2 linked regions of the Arabidopsis thaliana genome follow. The protein of the gene in region 1 interacts with the protein of each later gene in a pairwise test. Each region holds a gene or a part of one and is shown on either strand. Other genes may lie near its edges.

The links. The genes of interacting proteins can lie anywhere in the genome.
Region 2: the proteins of AT1G05020 (region 1) and AT4G31340 interact in a protein complementation assay, tested with the Arabidopsis thaliana proteins (one large-scale study listed by BioGRID).

What each region holds. Positions count from the first base shown.
Region 1 is NC_003070.9:1,432,969-1,441,209, forward strand, and holds AT1G05020 (ENTH/ANTH/VHS superfamily protein), read right to left. Parts: upstream 4,796-8,241; 5' UTR 4,378-4,795; coding exon 2,416-4,377; 3' UTR 2,187-2,415; downstream 1-2,186. Other genes in the region: AT1G05030 (Major facilitator superfamily protein), read right to left, coding at 5,356-5,547, 5,628-5,742, 5,843-5,931, 6,017-6,090, 6,190-6,336, 6,534-6,690, 6,767-6,860, 6,930-7,042 and 3 more. UniProt on the Arabidopsis thaliana protein: Adaptins are components of the adapter complexes which link clathrin to receptors in coated vesicles. Clathrin-associated protein complexes are believed to interact with the cytoplasmic tails of membrane proteins, leading to their selection and concentration.
Region 2 is NC_003075.7:15,202,161-15,212,107, reverse strand, and holds AT4G31340 (myosin heavy chain-like protein), read right to left. Parts: upstream 6,672-9,947; 5' UTR 6,447-6,671; coding exon 6,287-6,446; intron 5,904-6,286; coding exon 5,776-5,903; intron 5,656-5,775; coding exon 5,584-5,655; intron 5,491-5,583; coding exon 5,377-5,490; intron 4,913-5,376; coding exon 4,844-4,912; intron 4,777-4,843; coding exon 4,720-4,776; intron 4,583-4,719; coding exon 4,529-4,582; intron 4,444-4,528; coding exon 4,381-4,443; intron 4,285-4,380; coding exon 4,222-4,284; intron 4,088-4,221; coding exon 3,932-4,087; intron 3,830-3,931; coding exon 3,674-3,829; intron 3,556-3,673; coding exon 3,475-3,555; intron 3,381-3,474; coding exon 3,319-3,380; coding exon of another isoform or gene 3,315-3,318; intron 3,237-3,314; coding exon 3,158-3,236; 3' UTR 3,125-3,157; intron 2,863-3,124; 3' UTR 2,504-2,862; downstream 1-2,503. Other genes in the region: AT4G31330 (transmembrane protein, putative (Protein of unknown function, DUF599)), read right to left, coding at 8,957-9,508, 9,587-9,754.

The DNA of each region.
Region 1 (8,241 bases):
GTTTTTGTTCTTTTAATGTTTTGGACTAATAATCAACAAAAGCAAACAGTATAATCAACTCAAAAAAGAAAAAGAAAACAGAGGAACTATCAGATCTATCAAACTAATTATTATTCAGCCTCTGATGTTTAACCGTGTATAAATCCACATAATCAGAAGTAAATTAGAATTAAATTTAGAATAGACCACAAGGTTTTATCCAAACTGAGTTGGGTCGTCCAAGTCTTCGGAAAATCCTAAATATACTCAAAGGTAGGTGATAATAACCTTATCGTGTGACATAAAGTCATGATTACTATTCATCACCTTTAATTTAGTAACTAGCTATAGAAAACTAAAAATAATTTGGGTCGGAAAAAATATAAAAAATTTATGGTTATACAAAATATATGACAGCGACGTATATTATTACTCAGTCAGACGATTCATTGTTTGACCCGTTTTCTTCCTTTTACTTTTAGTGTGGATTAATCTTCCTTTTCACATTTCTTCCTTTTACTCTGTGTATAATAATAATAGCTTATATATCACCTTTCACTGAACCTTTTCTTGTTTTCAAGTAACTTAAACAAACTAATGGTTGGTTTTTGTTAAAAAAATTTGTAGACCGCATCCATCTAAATCATAATAATATACAAAATTATTTAGTCTTATGACACAGCAGTTTTCATTCGTTTTGTATTAATTTTGATGGACCAATAGTGGTTTATTTGTGTCCGTTGATTACGAAGCTGCTCTTCGGCCGGTAACAACATCTCTGTATGCACGTCTATATTAAGAATCATGAGCTATCACTTTTGGCCGTTTATCAGATCTAATAAAATTTCCCATTTAAGCGGAGAAGTTCAGATTCGATTACGTGGTTCCCTCTTTGGCCCAAAGATCACCTCTAAGAGTTGATAAGATATTTTTCTTTCAAATTCTTATAAGGATTTAAAAGCAAATGCAATGGAAAAAAAAAAAAAAAACATTCATTGCCTTACTTCCTTTCTATTTGGAGAAAGGTGGATCACCTTTTTTTTGTTTTTGTCTTTGATCAACATTCATACTTTGTTATAGAAAAACTGATATTTGATAATAGTAAGACATGCTTAACTTTATTTTCCACTTCCTCAGTCACAAACAAATCTCACGTCATTATTATGGAGCCTCAAAAAGTATAATATCACAGACGGGTTTTGGCAACTAATGTATTGATTTGAAATTTCTTAATATTTGCTATTTTATGGGACTATTTTAAAGTTGATCAATAAGCAAAACAAATAAAGAAACGTGTTTTATTTCATGTTGACTAACATTTTGACTCGAAAGCGAAACTTATGATAGAAAAATAGGCTTAGCAGCCGGTGTTATATTCAATCATGTATGACTTGTAAGCAAATTTTTACTAAATTACAAAACAACAACTTGAGAAGTCAAGAAGTTAAATCAACTTGTAATGAGAAACCTAAGAAAGGTGGAATCCTAAATTCACATATACAGAAGCTTTTACCACTGTCAAAGACGAAAACGACTCTAGTCAATGGCCAATGGGGGATAAAATTTGTGGTGTATAACTATTAAAAGAATTAATATTTGTGGTGGGCTATATACTAGAAAGAGATGTGTTATGATGATTTTGGTTTGGTAGATCTTTCTCCCTCGTGGCCTTGGGGTCAAGCTACAGCTTTGGTCAATCTCATGTTATCGACACCACAAAGCCAACTTGACCTACTAGTGGACCTCCTTAATTTATTCCATTTGGCTTCCCTCTTCGTTATCTTCCACCGATATACATTCATTTTATCATTCGCATTATCACGGATGCATATCATAACACATAAATACATGCATATCGGAAAATAAAATGCAAAAAATTGTTTGCCAGATATACGCATCTAATACGCATATCGGATACATTCATCTAATACACACACATTAGATGCATGCATCTGTTGTGTGATTATGTGAAAACTTGTTATATTAATATAGACTAAAAATGAATACATAAATATTTTCAAAAATACATAAACTAAATGCTACATAACATCATCACGATGATCAAAATGCTAGCTAAATTTCAATTCCCAAAAACTTCAAAGAAAATAACATATTCAAAAGTAAATCCCAAAGTGTACCGTGTACGTAAATGTATTCAGAAGGTGAACTTAGATATTTGAGTGTTATTCGTTGAGATATACTTGAAAATCAAATTCTCAATGTGATTATGATACAAGACACACAAAATACATCGTGTATACACAGGAATGCAAGTACGAAGATAGAATCCGCGGAAATATCTTTTTAATCAAAGAATTTCTGAATTTCACATTTCTCTAAGTTATGGAAAAATGAGTTAAGAGTTAAGTTGACAATGTAACAAAAGAAAAACTCAAAGAAACATCTCAACCTCTGTCTAGCCAAATAAATTTTGTATCAACTCAAGTGCTTGGCTATGATCTTTTTCTGGTTCTGCAACCATATCTGCTGTTCTTGCAATACAGATTGCTGATTTACCCCTCCATTTTCTGAAAATGTCTCTCCGAACCCAAAACTCTCAAATGTTGTAAACGGGTCACATTTCATAGGCAAAGTCTCCGTGGCCTTAAATGTTGGTGTAGAAGACGGCTCAAAATCATCAGGAACGTTCACCTGAAATGTCGGTTCTGGCTGAAACCCTGTCAAAGCCAAGCCACCGAACGTGATCATTGGTTCTCCGGCTGTAGCTAACTGCGCAACTGGTTCTTCCAAGAATGGGTTGTATTGGTCCGTGGCGGCTTGAAACGCAGGCATCGGATCATCTAACCCGAACGGTACTATCGCCATCGAGTTATTACCCTGCACCTGCGTAGCAGTTTCTTCTAACGCAAGCAACCAATTCCCTGAATCTCTCTGATGGTCCTCAGCGGTTGAAGGTTCCTCCTCAATCGTTTCTATCTTCTTCTTCGGATCATCTCTCAACATCAACGCCTCCCAAGGATCGAAAGTCTCTGCCTTTGAATCGTCTTGCTTCTTCTTGTCTTCAACATCTTCTGCTTCTGCCGTGTTACTTACGTCATCCAATGACAATAGGTCTAATATGAGATTGGAAGCAGAAACAGAGGGATTATTGGGAAGCGATTTAGTCGAAACCGTATCAAAATTATTCCCATTAGGATCATCTCGTCCTCCTCCGTATGGCTCAGAATGACAAGACATTGGAGGACTACTAGTCCCTGCTTCAGTCCTGCTCATCAAATCCTCCAACGAAGTACTACGAAACGACCCGTAATCTGAATACCTCTCCGACGTATCAATCGTGGAATCCCCAAAATCAAGCGAGCTTGAAACCGCTGAATCTTTGGACGATGGAGGCGGAGGAAGAAAACTATTCGGTGACGGATACAACCCTGAGCTCGCTGGAAACGACGATTGATCTTTTAAAAACTCTTGCAATGTCTCAAGAAGCTCTAAAGAGATCTTTTGAATGCTAGGATACTCCGATGTTCTTCCTATACCGATCGATTTGGAAAGATCGTAGAATGCGTTAAGCTCTTCGAACTGTTTCGAAGCTCGAACACAAGCTTGAAACGCATTGATGCAAGATTGGTATTGCAGATGGAAGAAACTGTCTAACAAAAGCGCTAATCCATCGGAAATGTCTCTGTAAAGATCAAAACTCTCTTGCATGACGGCGTAAAGCGACATTTTCACGAGCCTGTTGGCTTTCGCGTCTCCCGTCGGCCGCGTCGCGATTGCTCTGTCTAGTAATTTTTGCCAATACGTGATTTTGTCAAGAAGCATTACCGGTTTCATATCTCGAACCGCCGGTTCGTGGGATTTAATTCCGGCTTTGGGATTAAACCGGGATCTTGTTGTTGAGTTGGTGCTGATTCTTCCGGTTTGTTCTCGGTTTGTGTACCGTCTCTGTAATTTTCCGGTGAGGAAGCAATCGAGACGTTCGTCGAGGTAAAGCGCGAATGTACGGACGAAAGCAGTGAAATCCCAAGGGCACGAGTTCGAATCGTCGCGGAAGCTGGAGAGATTGAGGATTTTGGCGCCACGTTTCATGGCGTGGAGGACTTCGCGAGGGAAATAAGGATCACCGTCTTGGAAAATCCTGAGGACGAGGACTAGGGATTTGAGCGCGACGATCCAATTCCGTGTACGCCCGATACGGCGACCGATCGCGGCGGCGCAAGAGGCGGCGTGAGATTTCTTGGAGGATATGATTCCGAGGATTTCTGTTACGAGTCGATCGTCGATTGGGACTTCCTCGTCGTGGCTCGTAGCTTTCAAGATCGCAACTTCGAGAGTCGTGAGATCGCCGCCTCCGGTGGCTCCGTTAGCAACTTTGGCGAGGCTAATGCTTGTCTGATCTTTAACCGCACCAATCGCTTTTTTAAGCTTGCTCGGCATTGTCCTCGTCGTCGCGCTTTTAATTTCACCCAAACGTCTTCTTTGTTCCTCAAGGGGTTTTAATTTCTTAATCACTCTGGATTAGCGATTAATCACGAAGAATTAAAACCAAATTAGAAGATTTTCCTCTAAATTTTTTTCCTCTCTCTAAGGATTTTTTTTTCAATTTTTGTTCTTCTAAATATAGAGAGGAAGGCAGAATAAAATGGCTGGAGAGTCTCGAGACCCTTTCAAGATATAGCGTTGACTAATAGAGAGACTTCACACGCGATTTTGGCGCGTTAAATATATAATTGTGTTTAAATTCTTCTTCTTGTTAGAAGAAAAAGCATGATGCATAGAATTGTGTTCAAATTTCGAAAACTTATTATAATACAAATATCTTGTCAGTGTATTTATGTTACAAATTTTTTGATCGGCTAAAAGTAACATTCTCTCACAATTCCTTAAGAGTTGTTTCTACGAGCCTCATATTCGTATAGGTTATAAATTCAATGACAAGCTGTGTACGCTTTTTTTTTTCAGAGAACCAGCTAGCATCTTTATATTCAATATTCTTGGGATAAATTTAATATTATCAGAAATCTTTATCTTTGTTTGCAGACGTGCAAACCAGTATTATATATGAATATGAATATATAGAGATCATGAGTTATGGACTCACGATTTTCACCATGACATGGTAAGCATGTATAGTCTAGATCGAGACAATGTTACTACATTAAGCTATAAATCAAGAACGTCTTACCACTTGTAAATAGGCACAAACCTTTCATAAGTATGTATTTTGTGTAATCCTTGTCAACTTTCTTTCGCATTTTTTATAAATCTTTTCTTACATACCTAAGTATATCTATATACTCACAAGATTTCTCACAAGCTAATTTCCAGGCTATTTACATTTTACAACAACTGATGAAAAACTGATAAAAATTTTGAGGTCTTTCTCTCTTTCTTTCACTTATACCGTTTTTTTTTTTAACTCAGGTCGTCTCTGGAGTTCAAAGACAGTTCGATCTCTTCTAGTGATCGACCCTTTGTTTCCACCGTGAAGAGGTGTGAGAATGCCGCTGCCAACAATGATACTGAGCCAAAGCTGGCATAGACCGTTCCAACCCCGTATTTCTCCACCAGATCCAGGAAGAACAAACCAACCAAGAAGTTGGAGACCTGAAGAACATTTGCTTCGTCATTCTTCAAACTTCAAAAGGTTATAAAATGATTTATGGGAAAACTAAAAAAACACATACCCAATGTACAGAGAAGCTGAAACCCATGATTTTTCCACGCGTTCTGTTGCTGCTTAGCTCAGGGATGATGAGACCTGTTACAGGACCAGCTCCAATTGCAAAACTGAATATATACCTGTAACAGGACCAAACATATGATACGTTTCTGTCTTTTTTTGGGTACTATATGAGCTGAGAAAAGGAGACTAGTAATTGCTGGACTTCAAGCTACTTACATGAGTGTTCCAAGTATTGACAAACTCTGGCTCAGATCTTCATCCAAGGGGAAACCAACAGCATAAACAATAAGAAACATAGAGACTGCCTGTGACACCAAATCAATTCAATCAAAATAAGCTAAAGCAGTGAAAAGCAAAAGAGTTTATGTGATAAAAGAAAAAGATATTTACCATTCCCAAGTAGCTACCGATAAGAAGCTTCTTTCTTCCTTGCTTATCAATCAAATAAGACGCACACAGAGCACCTATTAGACCCAACAGTTCAGAAAAGGGACATTGTGATGGAAACAGTAGAAAAAAACAATCATCTAAATTTAAAGTTGATATAGGTGAGACTTGAGAACCTGCAAAATTTGTGACTCCAACATATAGACTTGCTTGAGCACCACTCGTGATTCCAACATTTTGGAATGTTAAAGATGAGAAATAAAGAACGCCATTTATGCCCGCGAATTGCTGTAGGACAAAAAGGGAGCCCCCAATGAATGCAACTGCAACCATTATATCAACAAGACATACAATTTAGCTACATAGATTTTTCATGTATGAAGTTATATATTCTCAGTTTCTTAGATCAAAGTCCTGGAAAAGGTTATTCTTAAACTTGAATGTTTTCAGTTTCTGATTTATGGTATAATATAACACCCTTAGAAGTTAGAACTAACATTAAAAGCAACCTTAACATGACCTCGTGAATGTGGTTTATCAAGGAGTTCCAGCCATCTGCTATTTAAGTTGGAGCCACTATTCTTCATAACCGACTGAAAATCTTCTACAGCTTTCTCGACTTCAGATCCTCCCCAGATGTTTCTTATCACTACTTTGGCATCATCAAGTCGTCCAACCTAAACAAGTATCATGAGACACGATTTCAACATGGAAAATCAATGCTTCCTCATGATTAAAAGAGGCGACTTATACCTTACAGAGCCAACGGGGACTTTCTACTGCAAATTGCATACCAAGTGCAAGAAGAAAACCAGGCATACTCGCTACATAGAGCATTGTCCTCCACCTGAACAGTAGTATACATGAGGAGAATGAAGTGAAGAGTGAAATGTATAGATAGCTAAATGAAGCTCACCAATGAGGGTCATCTTCTGCAGGAATCCCTAAGAGAAGAGAAAAGATTATCCCGAGACAAGTGCCAATTTGACATAAAGTTCCAAGGGAACCTCTGTATTTCGTCGGAGCAACCTATAGAATAAAAATGGTTGGCTTAATATCAGAAGTAACAAGACTCTTCAGCCGAACATATGAAATGCAAAATATGCTAAGCAAAAGAATGCTAAACCACAACTTATTGTACTGAGAGTCTGAGAGTACATAGGATCAATTTTAAGAAATGTCCTAGATCTTACAGCAGAAGAAGCCAAATAGTTAAAACATGAAGTTGAAAAGGAATCACATATTAGATTACCTCGGATATATATATTGGAACAAGAACTGTGTTGACGCCAATACCAAGACCAACAAGAAATCTTCCACATAAGATCTCATCCAAGGAGTGAGCTTGTGCACTGAGAGAAAAAGTAAAATTTAGTTATGCTGCTACCTCACAACTTAAAACATCATCATGGAATTGTTACTAACATAACGAAATCAAGATTCACCTTAGTAACAAGATATTACCTCACAAGGGCACCAAGAATGAGGGGTATCGTGAAAATCTGAAAGGTGCGTCGGTAGCCAAACTTGTCAACTAGTGGACCGGCGACTATGCTACCAATAAATGCACCGGCAATAAATATGCTCACAACAAGACCCTCAAGAATAGAATTGCCTTCAAACCCAAGTTCACGCGCAATAGACACGATGGGGCCATTCATCACTCTGCAAGAACAAACTGATAGTATTATAAGTACTAAGCTTTCGAAAAACTAATCCAGATCAACCTGACTAACTCATATTCTTCTCACTGGAAGCTAACAAATTGTCAAGACGGGGACAAATCAACACTCTGTAAAAACAATCTAATCAACATCTTTGTAAGCTCAAATTGAAGCTGTTTCTCACCAGCAATGTCAAAATGAAACTTTTTTTCGAATTCTGTAACACAACCAAGCATTAACACTACTACACGAACAGAGATTAATCTTCTGGTATAGAAATCAAACTAGGCCAGTGAAACAAACAACAACGACTGTTACTTCACAAATTTGGCAACAGTGAATTGGCTATATTATTACCCAATGTGATAACCAAAGAGAAAATTGGCCATAGAAGCAACTGATACATGAGGAAAAGCCGATAACCATCCCAAATCAGCGGAGAATTTCTCCGGCGGAACTGGCGATATCTCGTGATCGTCATCTGTTAAAATTTTGAATAAAGTTAGAATATTTCAAACAGATAAACATTGGCAAAGAGATTGGTAAGTCAATGGAGGTGAGAAA
Region 2 (9,947 bases), on another chromosome or scaffold:
TTTCTTTACCTTTATGTATTAACAAATGTGCACTGCAAAAGCTTTTAAAAACTAGTAGAAAGTAGAATCGATGTCGTATTTTGGGAACTACGCACGCACACAAGACACAACACTCCGTTTTCATTAACCCCGCCGAATGTATAAACGGCAAGACGTTTTCACTAGAAGGAAACTGCAAAGACAAGTCAGCATGGACCCGATCGAGTCCATGCATGTACCTAGCCCAAGAGCCACGTCTCTCAAATCAACGTTCCAACTTCTACTCCGTATTTATAAAACGTCTCCACTGAAACCCTAAATTTATAGAGATCTTTTAATTCTAAAGCCAACAAACAAAAGTAGTTCTCTTTCGATTTCAATCTTTTTATTTGAAGTATGACTGTATGAGCATGTAAGTAGATATGATTCTTGGTGATGCGTCTGCTGCAACGGAGGCGAATCGCAGTTATGCGGCGTTTCAGTTGAGTCTTGAGTGTGCAAAGAATGAATACCTGACCGATAGGGACCAGAGAGCGACCTATTACTGCCGGAAGTAACTGATGCTCTGCAACAAGCTGTTCGTGCAATGGGTCGTACGGTGCGAACGATAAGTTTCCCGTCAGCTGCCGCAAGAAACGGTTTAATCGTCCCACAAAAGGTGGTAGAACCAAAAAAGTCAGTGGCCCTCTTCGGTTACTTAGTGATCATGCTTTACAAGAATGACACTGAAGTCAGCTCTGATCAACATATGAGAATACTTTTTGATGCAGCTGGTTATGTTCCGATCAAAGGAGAAGATGTGTCAGTGTTCAATGATGAGGATCACTCGACCTACTTACGGTCCACCTATGGTATAGAACCCTGAGATCGGAAAAGCTGTCCTGAAAGGTTTTCTCAATCATACCAAGGATGGAGATTCTTTTGGTGATATTTGTTCATATGTGGCCAATATTCTTTCTTGGACAGACATGGAAGAATATACTATTTTTCCCCCAAGAAAGGTTTGTTTAGGTTTAAGAAATCTTAGAATTCATAAACAATACGTGTAGTGAAGAAATTCTTTGGGCTAACTGTTACTTAGTCTCAACTATGTTTTACATATTCGGAGCAATTGTGCTCTGTTTTGAACTGTCATGCTTTGTATTTCTGTTTTTGAATCTCTTCCTTGAATTCTTTTTTAATGAAGTTTAAGACAGCAAATAAAAATCAAAGCAACATACTAAAATATCTGATTAAACACATGTGGTGCACAAGAAAAAAAAAAACAAAAAAAAAACAGGACGCCATGTAGAATCAGACCCTAACTACAGAAAAGCTTCGCTAATGACTCAGAATTTTCCTCAAAGTAGTCGACAATACGCTCGGTGGCTTCGCACACTCGGCCAGAAGCGTACTACTTGACATGCATATCAAAATAGTAGTCTACTTTGTCAGATATCTCTGCATTCACTACCTTGTTGCTGCCACCAAGCACTCTATTCTTCAACTTCTCTGCGACAGCAATGAGCGTCGGAAAGTTTGCTCTTCTAAGTATAGAGCAGCTCGCAGGATCCTCATGCAAGATCCTGTAATACTCAGGCGAGTCAGTTTCCTTGATTGCTTGATCTGCTTTTTTCCAATTGCTTACTTCAGTTGCTAACTCAGGAGCTTTGAGAACAGGGGAATCAGGATAAACAAGATTTTCTTCGACAACATAATATCCTGCCATGTCTGTCCAAGAAAGGAATTTAGCAACATTAAGACTAACACTAGAGAAATAACAGTGGTCATTCTTTTTGCTACCGAGGACAGCACTCAGAACAGCTTTACGGATCTGATGGTTCTGACCATACGAGTTTCGATAGCAGATAGCATCTTCCACATCATTGAACACTGAGATATGTCCATCTGAAATATCATGAGCGACAGCACGAAGTGCTTTGAAACGCTTGTTAGAAAATTCTCTAAAGTTTGATTCGTTGACATTCTTGTAAAGCATGATCACTAAGTAACCGAAGATAGCTCTTGCTTTTGGTGGGACAGTTAAACCATTTCTTGCGGCATTCATCTCAAAGGCGGAGTGATAGATGTTACCGTTTGGAGATGGATCTGGCATAATCATATCTACTTCCATCTCAGTGAATCTTTTCCATTTAACCTTCGTTCTCATTGCCTTTTCTTGCTCGTTGGGGTTCGCCATTTTATTTTTGCACCAAGTTGCTGTGACTTTGGGGTGTTAGAGGAAGTGGAAGTGGCGATGTTTATAAACAAGAAAATCAAGTGGAAGTAGAAACGTTAAAGTGCCTTTAAGATAGATACATGCTTCTTTCTTGACTCAAATCGAGTCCCAAGACTTGTTGTTGGCCTCTCGACTACTGTATCTAGTTAAGATGAATTGTTAGTACCAATATCTCTCTTAATTATCTCTTCCACGTTTTGTGTTTTTCAAGGTTAGCTAAAACTTTCTGGTGAATTTTTAAAGAGACCAAGAGTTCATTTTGTAAGAAAGTAATTTGAGGAAAATAAAGAATAATTCTAGAGTTTGATGGAATTATAAGAAATTATGAATTAAGCATAAAGATAAGTTGCAAAAGAAAGAGTTCGAATGAAATTAAAGATATCGCAATATATATCCACGTAAAATAGAAAAATACACTAAAATACAACCAAGCTTTTGCTAGAATTTCTCTAGTAATGTCTAATCTTCTGTGTAAAAATGCTGAAATAAATTGTCCAAAACAATACAAAATAATAAAGGAAAGAAGTCAACACTTGTGCACAACGAGCCTCTAAAAACCCATCAGACACCAACTCGAGACTTTCCCTTCATTCAACAAGCAACCTGTCCGGTGAGCTAGCTGACTTTAGAACAGTCCAACAACAATGGCGTTTTAACCTCGTGACCTGGAGCGATTAAGAAGCAACAGATTAAGAAACGACAATGAAGCACCTAATGTTATGTGGCATCAGATACTCAAAACCACATTCCATAATCTGAGTATGGTTCTGTTACTAACACTACATATTTGTTTATTTTCACACTAACTAGACTACATGATTTCCTCTGAGGCTGGAAGCTAGAAAACTCGTAACTACAATGCTTTTAAGAGAGGAGATGTTCCTTAGTGTGGCTAATGTCAAGCAAAAGTTAAACGTGAGAGTGTACCTCGACTATTTTGAGAGCGTGGAACAATGAATATCACTTGTCAGTGTGAGCCCTTTTGGCCTTACGACGACCATGGTGATGAGGGTGTTTAACAGGTTTCTTTGTCTTTGTGCTGCGATAAACAATAATATGAGATATTTTTATGATTAAGAATATTACATAAAATGACTAAATGGATTACTTAAAAGACTTGCCAGAAGAGAGAAGAGAGCACTCTGTAAGCAACGAAGATGGGAAATACCAACAATGCAGAGGCCTGCAGTGCATAGATTTTAGATTTGAAGTTAGAGAGGAAACAAATAAAGGATGCATTCTCAGAATACGTTCTAGAAGAAAGTAAGGCAAAATACCGCAAACCAAACAAACTCATTGGTAGCAAAAGGCTCCGTCAGCTCATGGCTTTTCAGTTTTCGTTCAACATGGGCTTGGACCTTCACAGACAAACACAGATTTTAGCTTTACAAGTCGAGCATACTTTTTGATGAGTCCGAGAAGTGGAATAACTCAGATTTATTTTTAGTATACATTAGCAGGATTTTGGTTTCAGACCTGATTGTGATAAGTTGTGGCGGATTCAAGGAACTCTGTATAGACGATGATCACCTTGGTTGTGTAAGGTTTCATGGCAACCTTCATTTTATCAACATGTGGTTTCGTGGTCGTGGCCACTTGGTCGACATATGGCTTGCTGAACTTTTTGGCCTCCTGGAAATTGTAACAGGCATAAAGTTTACATCCGTAAATACTAGTTGATTAATTGTGTACCAAACCTATCAGTGAAAAAATAAACTGAAAAAGACACTATACCTGATAATAGGGGTCTACAAATTCTTGAACCGTGACAATGTGAGGGGAAACAGCACTCTTTGATGAATGGTAAGCCTCTTTAGCTTTGATGGATAGTGTTCGGAAGTGTGGCTCAACATGTATAGTAACGGTTTCCTTGATGGCTGGAATATATTTCTGCAAGTAGTGTCATAAGACATAGTAATATGAGCCAATTATAACTCTAGAGATTTGTGATTCACCAAAAATGCAGGCATTCCATTAATGTCAAAGAAATTTACTACAAAAAAAATTGCCAATAAGATGCTTACAGTTTTAACGTTTTCGACATGTGGTTCAGCCCACTTTTCAGCTTGAGCTTTTGCTTCCGTCACCTACTCAATAATAAGTAAACTTCATTAGCCAGATGCTCTCATACTGTTTAGAGGCATAAATCTCAATAGGAGTATAGGACAAAAGTTAAACAGTACCTTTAGAATTACTGTCTCCACAGCAGGTTTCCCATGGGCCTCCCAATGTGTCTCGGTATAAGTCTATAGGTACATGAAATTCCCTATGTTAATTGGGGGGGATAACTACTATGTTGTAAAACTGTAAAAAGGCCAGCATAAACCTTACCTGAAATTTAAACCAGTGAACAGCAAGCCAAGGGGGAAGCCACGAACCATGAGCCTGAGTAAATAAAACAATTGACATTAGCTTTCTGCCGACTTCCAGATTCCAGGCTCCGCTAATTTCCCACACAATGAAAATCTAATGCTATAATAGCATCAGAGAAAGCCAAATGTAAAACTGTGTCAAACTAATACCTCTAGCAGTTCCTTCGCCTTTGTGGTTGCTTCGAGCTTTGTCCTCAACATTTCTTCCTGAAATTTAAAATTTAGAAAAAAACTATATGTGAGGCAAATCTACTTTAATAAGAGGTTACTGTACCTCAGCTATCTTAATAGCACGTTCAAGTTTTCCTATTTTGTTCTTCTGCTCTTCATTTGTCTTCTGAAGCTGCAAGACATCAGATACTATAATTAAATGTCTCAGGACATTACTATAAGAATTGGTTCAACCAAAAGTACATATCCATAAAAGGGACCATAAAAGCATGGTCGATGGTATAGTAAGAAGGAGGGAAAGTTCTGATGGTATAATAAGACTGCATAACGAAACTCTGTTCTATATAATTCTCATACAACTCAAGATCGAATTAAGATCAAACACGAGTATCAAATCATCCAAGGAGCTGTCCTAATGAGAACTAATATAGCTGAGAACGGAAATTGCAATGCTAATAACATAGCATAAATGACGAGGCTTAGAACATGAAGATATTTTGACCTCAACCTTAAACAAAGTCTAGCTAAAGCTGAGATAAAAAAAAACGTAACTAAGCATTTACCATGTCCCTTAGAGAAAAAACAAATGAAATGGTGTAATGCAAAAAATGAAACGAGGGATGTAAACAAATATACTTTGTCAAGGCTCGAGTTAAGTTCCCTTAGTTTTTTCTCAGCTTCATTAGTCCGAGCTTCAGTGGAATCTTTCTCCTTGTTTTTTTGCTCCAAGAAGTTCTTGAGAACCTCAACCTAAACGACAGTAGTAGGATCGCAAAAATCAGATAACCGTTTGCAAATTCTAACCATATAAATAGATTGAGTTTTTGAACTTAAAAATTTCACCTGCTTCTCTAATTCATCAGCTCGTGCTTGAGCCTTTCCCAACTGTTTTGCAGAATCTGATGATCCCTTTTTCTGGAGATGAGTGAAAACACACAGATCAGATTTAAGCCAAACATGTCAAAAAGATTAGAAATTTTTTATCACAAGTTCCAAAAAAAAGTAGATGAAACTGAAACCATATAAGATCCATACCTGTAGTGATGAGACTTCAGTCTGCAAGGAAGCAATCTTGTCTTCCCTTTCTTTGAGTAGTTTCTCCTTCTCTGCTACTACCTCGTCTTTGCCCTGAACTTCCCGGGTTTTCTCATCGATTTGAGATTCTTCAAAACAAAACAAAAACAAAACATAAAGCTCAAACCCCAAAATTTGCATTCACCAAATAATCAAGCTATAACAAGCTCGAATCAGAACGGATTAGGCATTTCACAAATTCCACAAAACCATAGCAAGCAATTCGACATTGGGAACAAGTTAATACGATTCATATCTGAAATCGATCCAAAAGCTACTAATTTAAGTCAATGCTATAAGAACAGAGAAACACATCAAGTAGCTGAAACGGTAATTCTATCAGCGTCAGACCAATAACATGCGAACTCTGCAGATTCCGATTTCAAATACGAATCAAAGTCGAATAAAAATCAAAACTTCGCAATCATTCGATCAGATGGAAGAGTCTGAACAATGCAAGTCGGTAACTAACCTAGGGCACGGATCTTGGCATTAAGCTGATCCAGGTGGATCTTGGAAGAGCCATCGGATCCGGCAGCCTCAGAAACCTCCGGCTCATCAGCATCGGCGAAGACGCTGGTGGTGAAAAGCAAGGCAAGAAGTAACAAAGCGACGAGCTTCGCAGCCGCCATGTCTAAGATTCACCACCGTCGATCAACAAAAAGGGACGGAGATTCCAACGAACAAGAGAAACGTTTCCTCTCTGCTCTCTCACGATCTCTCTGTATATTTATGAAGGTGTGTTTTTGACCATGGACCGTAGAAATTTCTTAACCAGTAGGAAAAAAAGAAACAGCGTGCCAAGACGAGAGAGAGAGAGATAGATGGTACTAAACGTGAGGTAAATGGCTTCGTGGGTATGTCGTGACCGACGATGACACGCGGCATCCATCGGATCCACTTTTGTATTTTCACATTAATGACGTGGCGTAAATCCAATGGTTGATCCTTTTTGGGTAAAATATGACAACCAATTAACCAGTCGATATTATTATTATTGTCCTTTTTCGAAAGCAATTCAATCAGATCATCAAATTAATGACATTCATCTACTTGCCTGCTAACTAATCGTGGAGTACTAATTTTACTATATCCAGATTAAACCATTAGATATTCGATGCACCATTTAATTTCTCGTTAACTAAGCAACTTCTATTCTGAATTTTTCGATACTCGTTTTTTTAATTGCCTGAGAGCTAAGAATCTTTGTTTTTCTCTCCAAACAACACCGGCACGTTAACAATTTTATAAGTACGTATTATGTTATTACTATGCTTGATCCAACACAATTTGCCCTAATTTAAAAAGAATTTATGTAAAGGTTGGAATCACGATTCGCGATAGCTAAATCTATACGATTAATTGATTGGATCACAGAATCATGACAAATAAGTACCGCTGGATTATCAGAGATGTGTCTGGTCTATCGTTTGCTTTATGGCATTAACCAATTTATAATACTAGTTTTAACAAGACAAAAGTATAATTAATTAGCAACTACTCAATAATAATTATATGTACGTGGTACGTGGAGTTTGCCAACTCAAACCAGAAGCAATGACATTAACGTAATTCATCTTTTCATTAATTATAATCTCCGGTGTATAAAGCAAGGCCTAGTTGAAAATGCATATACTGATAATATTGAAAATGTATATTATTAATATACTCCAAAGTTCTCCAACGTTGCGGTCTCATCAAATCATCAGCCTCACAAATGTTTTGTTCTTCTCTAAGTTTCCCAAAAAAAAAAAAAAGGGGATGAAGTTCGATTATAGTCTATGATTCACAGGTGTTCAAAAAAAGGACAGAAAAAAGTCTCATTAAACCCAAAAAAAAAAAAGATTATAGTTTATGATTTCTTATAAGTTATATATTAGTAAAAAAGAATTACAGGTGAGTAAATGATCAAACACAAAACAGTCCAGTGATCTTCCAAACTTGATGTTGTATTTGAGTTTTGTTAAATCATTACAGAGATGTCTATCATCGTAATCCTTCGCTTTGAGCTCCTACTTCAATTCTTCAAAAGTGCAAATGCCTTCATCATCTCTTGACATTTATTTTTATAAAAAGGCTTGAAGAAAAAGAGAAAAATATCACATGCCTAACAGGCCACAGTTTATAATTTTATTAGATTTAGGCCCACTTAAGGACAGCCCATGGTACTTTTGCCAACAGTTTAATTGGCTATCTCTATGATATATCTCTGGCTATCTCGTTGTTAAATGGTCAGTAGCTATTATCCATGAAATTTGTGTATCAACGGATAGTCACGAGTAAGTTATTTAGCAACTGTCGTTTAGCTATTTAGCTACGTACGAAACTAAAGTTTTAACTACGAAAATTTTCATCACTAAAATTGTATTTGTTTGTAGCATGAAATAGCTTTTTGTTTACCTAATCTAAACCAAAATTGAAAATATATATATGAAAAATAGAGTTAGTTAACATACAATGATACAATTTTAATCTAGGCGAACATGGGCTTCAGAACTAGATTCGGATATAATTAGCTAACATCATAATCTGAATTGTCATCTCTAAACGAGTTCTAAACAGTTTGATTTCATACTACACAGAAAAATAACCGTGTAGGTATATTTCTACATTGTCTTAGGGAGGATTTAAATAGCCTCGTGACGACTGGTTCCTAACACATAACATAACAACAAAACTTAATAAGACAGATACTAATGCACGGAATAGATGTGAACATCACATTTTTTGTCCCGTTTCTTGCCCAACGTAAGCCACATGCATATAAACACTAACAGAAAAAGAAAAAGAAAAAAGAGAAACGTACATACCAAGAGAGCTGTGAGATATGCTGATACGTTATAAAGTCACCCACATGGAAATGCCAATAATAACGCTCAATAAACCAAAACGTGACATATATTACACCACACCAAATACATACGGCCGAAAAACCCTAATATATGAAAATTATAATGCGTTATTTAATTACATTTTTTTTTCTTAATCGGAAGATCTAGAATTGAAACCTAAACTATGATCTTCGAACTTTTCAACTTCCATGTAAAGTCCTCATGCGTTCATCGGTAGTCCAGGATTTAACAAAGAGGACGATGATATCACTTAATTACAAATCACTTGTTCTACTGACCAGAACTCGATTTTACACAGATCCAAAACTAGACTTTTGATCAAGTTTTCTTCTTTCTTTACCGAAGAAGAAGAAATCGAGGTTGTAAAGTAGAGGAACCATCACGACCGAGCACAAAAACACAAGCACCGGTCCAAATATCCAAAGCATCAACGGCAAAGCCGCGTAGAACAACCGATTCCCCACAGTATTCAAAATAAACCCTCTCTCTAGCAACTCCGCCACGTACTCCTCCGCGGTCATCATCATCTCGTCCTCCAACTCCTCAGGAGGAAAAGGAGTGTTGATGAGGATGTTAACTTGGTTGATGAAACGAATTGAGAGAGAGTGAGAGAAGAAGGAGAAGAGGAATATGGTGAGTATCGTGACGTACTTGAGAGCCACCATGAACTCTCCGCGAGCTCCAAAAACAGCGTCGTTTAGAGGCTTCTTCACTGCATATGTGCTGCTTAAAACCGCAGCTAGACCAGCGCAGAGGAGGATCGATGTTGTTGCCATCAAAGTCGACCCCATTATGCAGTTTCTAAGCGTTTGAACGGCCAAGATGTTCTTCTTGTCGTTGTCCTAATTTAATCAAATACATAAAATTAAAATCATATATTTATGTGTGTGAAGATGTTTATATAAGAAAATTGAAGTTACCTTGATGATGGAAGCGACCCAGAATCGGCGAGCTCTAGCGTTAGTGCCGATGATAGTGGTGAGAGGCTGTGTTCGTAACTTATGCCACAAGTAAACATGGTAAGATGCATACACCATTAGCCCTAGCGGCACCAATATCACATCTAAATAACATTCTCTCCATTCCATTTCTATCTTCTAAACTTATCCAAGTTCTATCTTCTTTTTATGAAGCCGTTTTCTATATGACTTCTTGGAAGGTTTAAAGACCCTATTTATAAGAAAAATTATAATGAAACACTAACCAAATAATTTAAAATAATTGTTTTTTTTTAATTTTATTTTTTGATAATGAATCGGATAAAAAAAATTTGTTTTTTTG